2 linked regions of the Drosophila melanogaster genome follow. The protein of the gene in region 1 interacts with the protein of each later gene in a pairwise test. Each region holds a gene or a part of one and is shown on either strand. Other genes may lie near its edges.

The links.
Region 2: the proteins of Vps51 (region 1) and Prx4 interact in a two-hybrid assay, tested with the Drosophila melanogaster proteins (one large-scale study listed by BioGRID).

Annotation. Positions count from the first base shown.
Region 1 is NT_033778.4:18,707,633-18,713,087, reverse strand, and holds Vps51 (vacuolar protein sorting 51), read left to right. Parts: upstream 1-2,222; 5' UTR 2,223-2,312; coding exon 2,313-2,393; intron 2,394-2,469; coding exon 2,470-3,221; intron 3,222-3,281; coding exon 3,282-3,918; intron 3,919-3,970; coding exon 3,971-4,501; intron 4,502-4,553; coding exon 4,554-4,666; intron 4,667-4,722; coding exon 4,723-4,831; 3' UTR 4,832-4,936; downstream 4,937-5,455. Other genes in the region: CG15073 (uncharacterized protein), read right to left, coding at 5,066-5,455. UniProt on the Drosophila melanogaster protein: May act as a component of the GARP complex that is involved in retrograde transport from early and late endosomes to the trans-Golgi network (TGN).
Region 2 is NT_037436.4:3,040,529-3,044,876, reverse strand, and holds Prx4 (peroxiredoxin 4), read right to left. Parts: upstream 2,519-4,348; 5' UTR 2,427-2,518; intron 2,328-2,426; exon of another isoform or gene 2,105-2,327; intron 1,833-2,104; 5' UTR 1,826-1,832; coding exon 1,672-1,825; intron 1,606-1,671; coding exon 1,488-1,605; intron 1,437-1,487; coding exon 1,031-1,436; intron 973-1,030; coding exon 922-972; 3' UTR 703-921; downstream 1-702. Other genes in the region: scramb2 (scramblase 2), read left to right, coding at 8-31.

The sequences.
Region 1 (5,455 bases):
GGCTTAAAGCTGTGTGTTATGGCGCTCGACTTGTTTGCCTTTCATTTGCTGTCCACTCACGCAGCTTCACTTCAGTTGGCCCGGCCACTTGCCAGTAATCTCTGAACCCACGCCACGCTACGCCACACCCCACCTGCCACCCACGGCCCACTCCAATGCCGTACATATAATCCGTTTAAAATGAGCACTGGCTGTGTGCTCCAGTTTCCGCTGCTCCTGCTTTTGAGTGCACTGAAATTAATTTAACGACTTGGCGCACTTCAAACTGCACAAAACATATTAGTGGGCCGAACGTGGGTGGTGTGCACAGCTTTCTCTGTGCCGCACGCAGAAGTGAGAAGGGGAGCAGGAGTGGGGTGGGGGAGAAAGTGAGGTGTGGAAAACCTGGGACAATGGCAACTTGACCTTGACACGTTCGACGCTTTCCGCCGCCCTCACGTCCTTCAGCTTTTCACTTTTTTTTTTTGTTATATTTCGCTCGGCTTACGTAAATTCAATTTTCAGTTTGATGAAAGCAAAGTTCATGCCACACACAAGCGCGAGTGTGTGACACACTGTCCCACTGTCGGTCTTTTCTTTTTTTGTTTGTCTAACCTTTAAGAAGACCATTGCAATTAAAAGTTTTAGTTTTCAATCATAGAAATGATTTGGAATATGAATAATGGTTATTCATTACAAACATATAATAGCATAGTGTGTTGCGAATTAGGATCCTCATCAAACTCCTCATTGCTATACATTTTTCTCAGTGCACATGATACAAGTTTGGAGGCTGATGGCATTGGAGAGCGTGTGATTTGCACAATCTGCACACAACTCGAAATTAAATTCGGCCCCGGCAACAGCTCGAACTTTTTTGCGAAAGGTCAAAATGTTAATGTATTTGAAATGAGACGCCACAAAGGAACGAGAGCGAAAGGAGCCCAGGATAAAATATAGTGCGAATGGTGGGAAAATTACGGGGAATGCTGCAGGGCCAGCAGCCGAAAAGCGAGACTCAGATGCGAGATACAGCAGCACAGGGAACTTTAGGCCCTCGGAATGTGGCAAAAACTTGTCCATGTTCATTCAACTTGACACGGTCGCCAGCGGGCAGACGAACTCCCACCGAAATAAAAAAGGACGCACCAAGAAGTACAAACAACTGCTACATATTTATGCCACGACACTGAAAATACCCATTACAAAAAATGATTTAATGATGTTTAAAAGATATTAAAACTGTAACATAGGGCAATTCAGAATTCAGAAGAATATATCTTTCAATAAGCGTTACATAGTTAATCGCAGTTTCGAAATACCCAACGACAGGGTATAAGACCTTAACAAAAAAGATGTCTGGTAGTGTGGAGGCGGTGGGCGTGGAATGTTTAATGCGATTTGCCACACGTAACTCAGTCTGGGGAGACTGTTGAATTACTTAGGATACAGAAGCCCACATCGTGTTCTACTTTTGTGCTTTATTGAGCCAGGTGATATACAAAGTTATTTGCCATGATTTGGGTCCAAAATGCACAGCATTGTCACGGGGTCCGTTAAGCAATCTACAAAATGTTTAAGTAATTAGGTACATTAGTTAACTAACATTTTGTTGTTACTAACCAGCAGTCACAAATGAGCTGCACAGAGCTGCAATTAATGCGGAAACAAAGAGTAATAGCTTCATGTTGTGATTGCTTTAATAAAACCTTTTACATTAATGCCATTTATGAAAAACAAACAAGTATTTTCTTATCAGTTTGAAATGGGAGATTCCCAATAACAAAGCCGCGATTAGAATAAAAATGACAGAGAGCTTTGCAAACTAAGATAATCTCAGTTCACGTCTCTCACGATTTAATACCAATTCATCACACACCTATGTGCCTAAAAATAAAAACAAAAAGAAAAAACAATAAAAAAGATAATAAAATAATATATTTAATAAAGACACTAACTTTATAAATACTCAGAAAAATATTAAAAATTAAAATTCTTTCAATATAATGCCATAGCAGTACTATTCTGCATTAACATTTAACTGTCTAAATTATTATTCACTTAATAATATAATAATAATATAATAATATTTCTATTTAATTTAAAATAAAAAGTTGCTAAACGCGCACCGTTCAAAAAATGATTGTGTGGCGGTATTGGATATCGATAACAATATTGGTAGTCAGCTGTTAAATGAGGGAAACATTTTTCGTTGCCCAACACACCTTAACTTATCGATATACGAAAAAAACGATAAATCTTCAGCAACAACAAGTTCACAACATTTAGTTTATTTATTTATTTAGACTAGTGGTAAAAAAAAGTTCTACAAAATGGCTGAAACCAAAGCCAATCCCTTCGACATGGACAGCTCCAGCTTCGATGCGGAAAAGTATCTGGAAAGGTTGCTCAAGGTAAGAACAACAAAATAGTGAAGTAATAATCATTAACTTATGCACTTTTTGTTCTGGCTGTTACTCACAAATAAAGGATTGCTCCTTAAAGCAAATAATGGATACGGAGGCGGCGGTGGTCAAGGACACACAGACATTGCACTCTGATATGCAGACGCTGGTCTACGAGAATTACAACAAATTCATCTCCGCCACGGATACAATTCGCCGGATGAAAGATGACTTCAAGCAGATGGAAACGGATGTGAACCTACTGATGACCAAGATGCAATCCATAACGACTTTTAGTGAGCAAATAACCGGAACGCTGCAGGGCACCAGATCGCAACTATGTCGCCTGTCCGAGAAACACTCGCTCCTCAAAAGGCTGCAGTTTCTCTCAACTCTGCCAGCTAAACTGAAGTCCCTCATCGAGGAACAGAACTACGCACAAGCTGTCCAGGACTACCTGCATGCCCAGAAGGTGTTCGCCCAGTACGGTCGACAGCCGTCCTTCGATGGAATCCAGCGAGATTGCGACGCCATCATGGCAGATCTCAAGGAGCAATTGCGAAGTGACTTTCAAAGGGCTGGGAACACGGCCCAATCCTTGACGGAAATTGGAGAGCTACTCCTGCAGCTGGACGAAAAGACTTCGGATCTGGCAAGCGAAATGCTGACTTGCGCTGGCAAACGACTGCACGAGCAAATCGTCATGCTGCAGGATCAAACAGAGCGTGATATGCTGGAGTTTGTGGACATGGGCATCGATGGTTTCCTCAACGATCTGGCACTGGTAGTGACTTCCTACTTTGACATGTTTGTGGCCAAGCACTACGAGCATGAGCGGTAAATTGAACAATATTTTGTATAATCTTAATTGAGTTTTATTATCCATTCCATTTTCAGCGATGACTTTCAGGAGAACGCCCTGCAGGAGCTAAATGTCTTCCTCAATCAGAACATCGAAAAGTATCTGACACTCGTCCAGGATCGTGTTGAGTCCGACATTGGCTACGGCGATACCCAGGTAATGCTACGCGCTCTGGATCGACTTCATCGGCGCCTTCAGGCCATGCGAAATATCTGCCGCGGCTTGGAGGTCCAACGCAACACAGTATCTATCATTATTTCGGCTGCCCACCAACTATGCGATGCCCATGCCAAAAACCTCAAAGATCACTTTGCCGACAGTTTGAGTGCGGTTCGTCTGTCGCTGGTTTCTGCCAAGAGCGATGCAGCTGCTGGTCTCAATCTCGGTGATCTGATAAGCAACCTTTATGTGTCCATGGTGGAGAAAATAAAGGGTGTACTGCAGGACTTGCTTATATTCCTGCGCACCGACTGGTCGTTTAACATCAAGGCGGAACACAAGGGCGCCCTGTGCGTAGAGGGCATTCGGGAGAACCTACTCATTGGCTTCCTACGTCATATTGCCAAGGTGATGTGTGGTTTCGGAGATGCCTCCAGCTCCAGTCCACCCAATCTACTGCTGGTGCTGTCGAAAACGTGTCTGGAACTCGAGCAACAGGGCGTTCACATACTGGTGAGCTTTCTATTGCAACTATTTTTGATTCCCTAACAAACTAAATCCTCAGATTGCTCTGGTTGATGACCTGTACGAAATCGACTCGGAGAACAGTGCAACGCTTACCCACGAAACTGAGATATGTGCTGAAATGCGGGAGACGGCACAGTCACTATTGGACGCCTATGTGCGGCTGCAGGGCACCAATATCTCGCAAATGTTACGCAAGAGCGTGGAAACAAGGGATTGGCTTAACTGCCTGGAACCACGATCCGTTCGTGCGGTGATGAAGCGTGTGGTGGAGGAACTCGGCAGCATCGAGACGGTGGTGGCCAGTCTGTACGAGGCAAACACTAATGCAACGTCAGGATTCCGCACCACAGCGAGCAGTGACTCTAGCCGAAAAACATATTTCAGTAACTTTGCTTCCACCTCAAAGCCACAGTATCGTTCCAATTGGTCAAACTACACGCCTTCGCAGCTGGAATCCAGCTATGTGTCCAACATACATCGCTTGTTTTCGGAGCGAGTGGAAATCTTTACTTCAGTAGAGTTCACCAAGGCCTCAATTATAATGGGAATTATTAAAATTGGTCTAAAAGTAAGTGAGTTTATGAAATGAAGGTGGCTATTTACGTGATTTATGTTTCTAGACCCTTTTGGAATGCGTGAGGCTGAGAACTTTTAGCAAATTCGGACTTCAGCAGATTCAGGTGGATGCTCATTATCTGCAAATGAACCTATGGCGATTTGTAAGCGATGAAAAGTGAGTTAGTTTCGAAAACTGAAAGATATGATAAACTAAACACACTTGTTTGGCAGTCTGGTGAACTTCCTGCTGGACGAGATTCTTGGCTCAGCTGTGCAAAGGTGCTTGGAGTCCGTTTTAATGGAGCCCAATGCTGTGGAAATTATTTGTGAACGGGGTTAGTATTTGTTTCCACAACATAAAGCAACATTCCACTTAAAATCTCCGTCTATTTTGTTAAACGCTGCTAGCTTAAGGATCTAAAAATAAACACCCTGTTTCTAATTTAGATAGTTATTTAAAATGTCTAGGAAATTGACTTCATTTTTTTTTTGTTAGAAAAATCTTTCAAATTCCAATTCTGCCATTTTTTAACTGTGCTGGTTACGGGTACACCAAATGTAACAGAAATCATTTTCAATCTGTGGTATCGGCACTGAGACACAGAGTGAACTCGATGGTATCTCCCTTAATATCCTCCTCGGTATTTGTCAGCAGAATGCTGTGGGATTCCCCATCTTCGCCCGTTGAGATGGTCAACACGCTGGGTGTCTCCTCCTCGATGGCTTTTCGTTTCTCGGTGCGTGCCTTCCTTGCCTCCTCGAACTCTTTGGGATGACACTTCCTACGATGCGTGTGCTGATTCGCATTGGAGTTAAATGTTTTCGGGCAGTGAGGACACTTGTAAAGCACCTCGCCCGTATGCATGGTCATGTGTTCCCTCAGTGTGATGGCCTTTTTGAAGGCTTTATTGCACACACTACATTCGTGCTTCCTATCCGTGAGATGCACATATCGCTGGTGACT
Region 2 (4,348 bases), on another chromosome or scaffold:
ATTCCAGGACGCGGTTTACTACGAGCAGTAGGCTGTATGATGAATCGCATTCTAAAGGAACAAACGCCCAAACATTATAATCGCCGACTGCTTTTTGGTTCGACGTGTTGCATGGTCATAGCTCTAAGAACTTTTTAACCCCTTATTTGATTAACGTTTCCGGGAATCTGAACAGTGCAACGCTTTGATCGATACGGAATCTCCGCAGCAAAGGAATCTCCCGCACAACTTGGATCTGAACCGCAGTTGCACCTTCGTTATTTTATGAACCTCGGTTTTGGCATTTAAAGCTCACCACAATGAAGCACTTACTGACAAACGCACAAAACGGAAAACAGAAAGCAGACTACACACGAAGAATCCGACGAGAACGAGTGCCTTATGACGTCCTAGTTATTGTCGTCGCCCCCGTCCCGTTTCCCCAGATTTATATACCTCGACAGACCTAGCTTTGTTGTACGCATAGGTCGGAGCACAGGATAACTTAATTGCAACCATGGCGTACCTAACTAATTTACTATTACCTTTTACCTACTACATATTACATATTACATATATTTTTGTATGAAACTAATTGCAATCGAATTGTTACCCATTAGAGTGGCCTAGTGAGCCAGCTTTCAAGGCATTTTGAGATCGAAAACATCTCCTCCTTTTTGGTACCGCTCCTGTGGCGCCGCGCAATTTTCATCACCTTCACATGTACTTCATGAATTTATTTATATCTCAGTTATGCTGTAAAATAAACAAACTATGTTTTGTACAAAGCAAATGCGAAATATTCACAATCGGTGGCATTGCGGATTTGGATTTTCTGTACAGAGGACTCTAGCGATTGTTCGTTTGCATCGTGATTCAGTCGTGAACATTAGGAATGTAACTGGGCTAGGCTACTAAGGTAATGTGCATCTCTATCTGTCCCTAGTTGTTCTTGGCAAAGTACTTCGTCTTCTCCTCAGGATTGGGAACGATCTGTAAAGGTAATGGTATCAAAAAGAATTTACCTAAGGCAATGCTTCAAAAAACCTACCGTATCGGCACCTGGCCGCCAACCTGCTGGGCAAACCTCTCCATGGGTGTCCGTATACTGGAAGGCCTGAACCAGACGAATAGTCTCGTCCACAGAGCGTCCCACGGGCAAATCATTCATGGTGATCTGTCGCAGCACTCCGGTCTGATCGATAATGAAGAGACCGCGCAGCGCATGACCGCTGGACTCCAAGTAGACTCCGTAGTCCTTGCTGATCTTATGCGTTAGATCGGAGAGCAGTGGGATCTTCACGTCGCCCAGGCCGCCCTCCTTGCGCGGCGTGTTTATCCAGGCCAAGTGGGTGAAGTGCGAGTCCACGCTGACGCCAATCACCTCGGTCTTGATCTTCTTGAACTCGGCGATGCGGTCGGAGAAGGCAATGATCTCCGTTGGGCATACAAAGGTGCTAAAATGGCAATGAGAAATGCGATCATACTAAATGTAAATGTAAACTTACAAGTCCAGTGGGTAGAAGAGTAGCACCACATATTTCCCTAGATACTGGGACAATGATAGCTTCACAATCTCCTTATTAACCACGGCGGTGCCCTCGAACTGCGGAGCTGGCTTGGAAACTGGGGAAATAAGGGTAGCAGCAACTTAATAGTGATCCCTGGTTTTTTGCATCCAATGGAACTCACTGACTGCCTTGGTGTACTGCAGCTGATGGTCGCCCTTCGGCTGGTCGGGATAAACGGAGCCGCCGGCGAAGGAATAGCACGATTCATTATCTTCCGGCTTGGCAGCTCCAACGAGTGCCGCGGACAGCAGTAGGACAGATAAGTACTTGGACATGATTGGGCTGAAACGAGATCCACGTACGTATATGGCTATTGGATTCGGTTTATACGCTATTTATTACACGCGGCCTTTACAATTATTGCCGCTCTTTATATTTATAATAAATCTGTGTACAGTGGTCGCCCAACTATCTTTAATTTTGTAAATTATGTAAAGATATATAATTTTGAATGTTAATTAGGAACAAAACTAAACTTCAAAGAAAAGATACTCCTTCTATGTACTAAATCCTTGTTCCGTCCGTGTCAGCCAGTCTCTACTGTACGCACATACCCAAAATTCGAACACGCCCACAACTTGTAGCCACGCAGTCAAAAAAGTAACTATTTCAACGGGCAGAACTTCAATTGATTTTGGTGGAACGCGCTTATTGTTGCTGCGCTTCCGAAAAGATAAGCTTATCAATTTCATTCACTTCACTGCTATTATAATTTATAGTTGTCAGCGTGTAACCGATTTAAACAAATATAGTTTACAAAACTACTAAAATTCCAATGCCAATGCGATTGCCTAGCTCCGATTTGAATATTTATTTTTAGTTGCAGGGTAGTTAACTTGCTTGCATTAAGCAACAATGCAAACGCACAGCTGTTACCTTTTAAGCGCTATAATTAACTCTTTTTGTTTTAATAACAAATTGTTCTGCCGGCATTGGTGTGACCGTAATACGCAAAAATACCATACTGTCGTTCCGACACCAATGCATAGTTCAGCATTGCCAACATAAATTTCATTATGAAATATTTGAATTTTCATTTCATATTAACGCGTAACTGCAATTTTGAAAGAATATTATTTTAGAAAAAATATCTGTGCTGCATTGGCGAATCAAAAGCGATGTATGGCCATGCTATGATCTATCCAATTTTTTTTAAGTAAAAAACACTTTCTCAGTTAACTTTTACTTACGCTATAAACTTTATTAAAATATATACAGTTTGTCAAGAAACTGTTTACACACTGTGAAATAAGTTGAATTTTTGACTTTAAAGCTAAAAATAAAGGGTTTTTTGCTTAATTAAACGCAATTTTTTTATAAAATATAATTAAACAATATTTATTTTACTTATAAATCAAAAAACAAATTAAAAATATTAAATATACAAGAAAATAAACAACAAATTCCAAGTTTACACACTTTTGAGACTGTCAAGAAACTCTTTACACATTTTGTTTTCCTACTTTGTTTTGTTCTTTTTCTTAGAACGAACTCGATTTTTCCGTTATTTTTGGCTTTGCATTGCTTTTTACAACGCTTCTATTGAAATTTTGTTGACTTTGCTTGTGAAATTTTGCTGATCAAACGTGCTTAAAGCGAATTATTAAATTTAATAAAATGCCTGGAAAGAGATTAACTTTTGAAGTTACCCAATTAATAAACTATAACCACCAGTTGGGAAAATCTTTTCCAGAATTAGTATAAATGTTTCCTGTATCCCGTAAGACCGTCTACAATGTTTTAAAAGGCTCGGAAAAAGAGGGCAGGCTTGAACCTAAGAGCGGTGGTGGGCGGAAAATTAAAATTAAAAAGCGTGTAGACCGCTTTATTATGCGAATAGTGATTGCGAACCCCCGAATCTCGGTCAGATCACTTGCTCTGGATATCAGGCAAGAATGCCACCTAACTGTGTCACACGAAACTGTGCGCCAAGTCATCCTACGCCATAGGTACTCTTCAAGATTTGCAAGGAAAAACCCTTTGCTATCAGATGCCAATATGGAAAAGCGTCATTAATTCGCTGTGAGCATGATGGATCATGCGGAAGAGTACTGGGATGACGTCATATTTTGTGACGAAACAAAAATGATGCTCTTTTATAACGACGGGCCAAGCAGAGTATGGCGCAAACCGTTGAGTGCGCTAGAAAAACAAAATATCATTCCAACGATAAAATTTGGAAAAATGTCACTGATGGTTTGGGGCTGTATCACCAGCCGTGGAGTGGGAAAACTAGCCTTAATTGAGAGCACAATAACTGCCGTGCAATATCTAGAAATGTTAAAAAACAAATTTGAAGGCCAGTGCAGAAAAATTCGGTCTAGTTAGCAACAACAAGCCAAATCTTAAGTTTTACCAGGACATGATCAGAAACATAAAGAGTGCAATGTACGCACCTGGCGCCTTAATAACTGTGGTAAAGTGATCGATACGCCCCCTCAGAGTCCTGATCTGAACCCCATTGAAAATTTGTGGACCTACTTAAAGAAGAAGGTGGCAAAAAGGGACCTAAAACACAACAACAGCTTATGACTGTAATAGTCGAAGAGTGTGAAAAGATCCCGTTTGAATATGACCTGCAAAAACTTGTCCAATCCATGAAAAAAAGGCTTCAACTTGTAGCTAAAGCCAATGGGGAACATACTACATACCAAAACTTTTAAAATTTTAATAAAATAATTAAAAAATTTAGGATTAAACTTCGATTTAGTGTTTTGTGTAAAGAGTTTCTTGACAGTCTCAAAAGTGTGTAAACTTGGAATTTGTTGTTTATTTTCTTGTATATTTAATATTTTTAA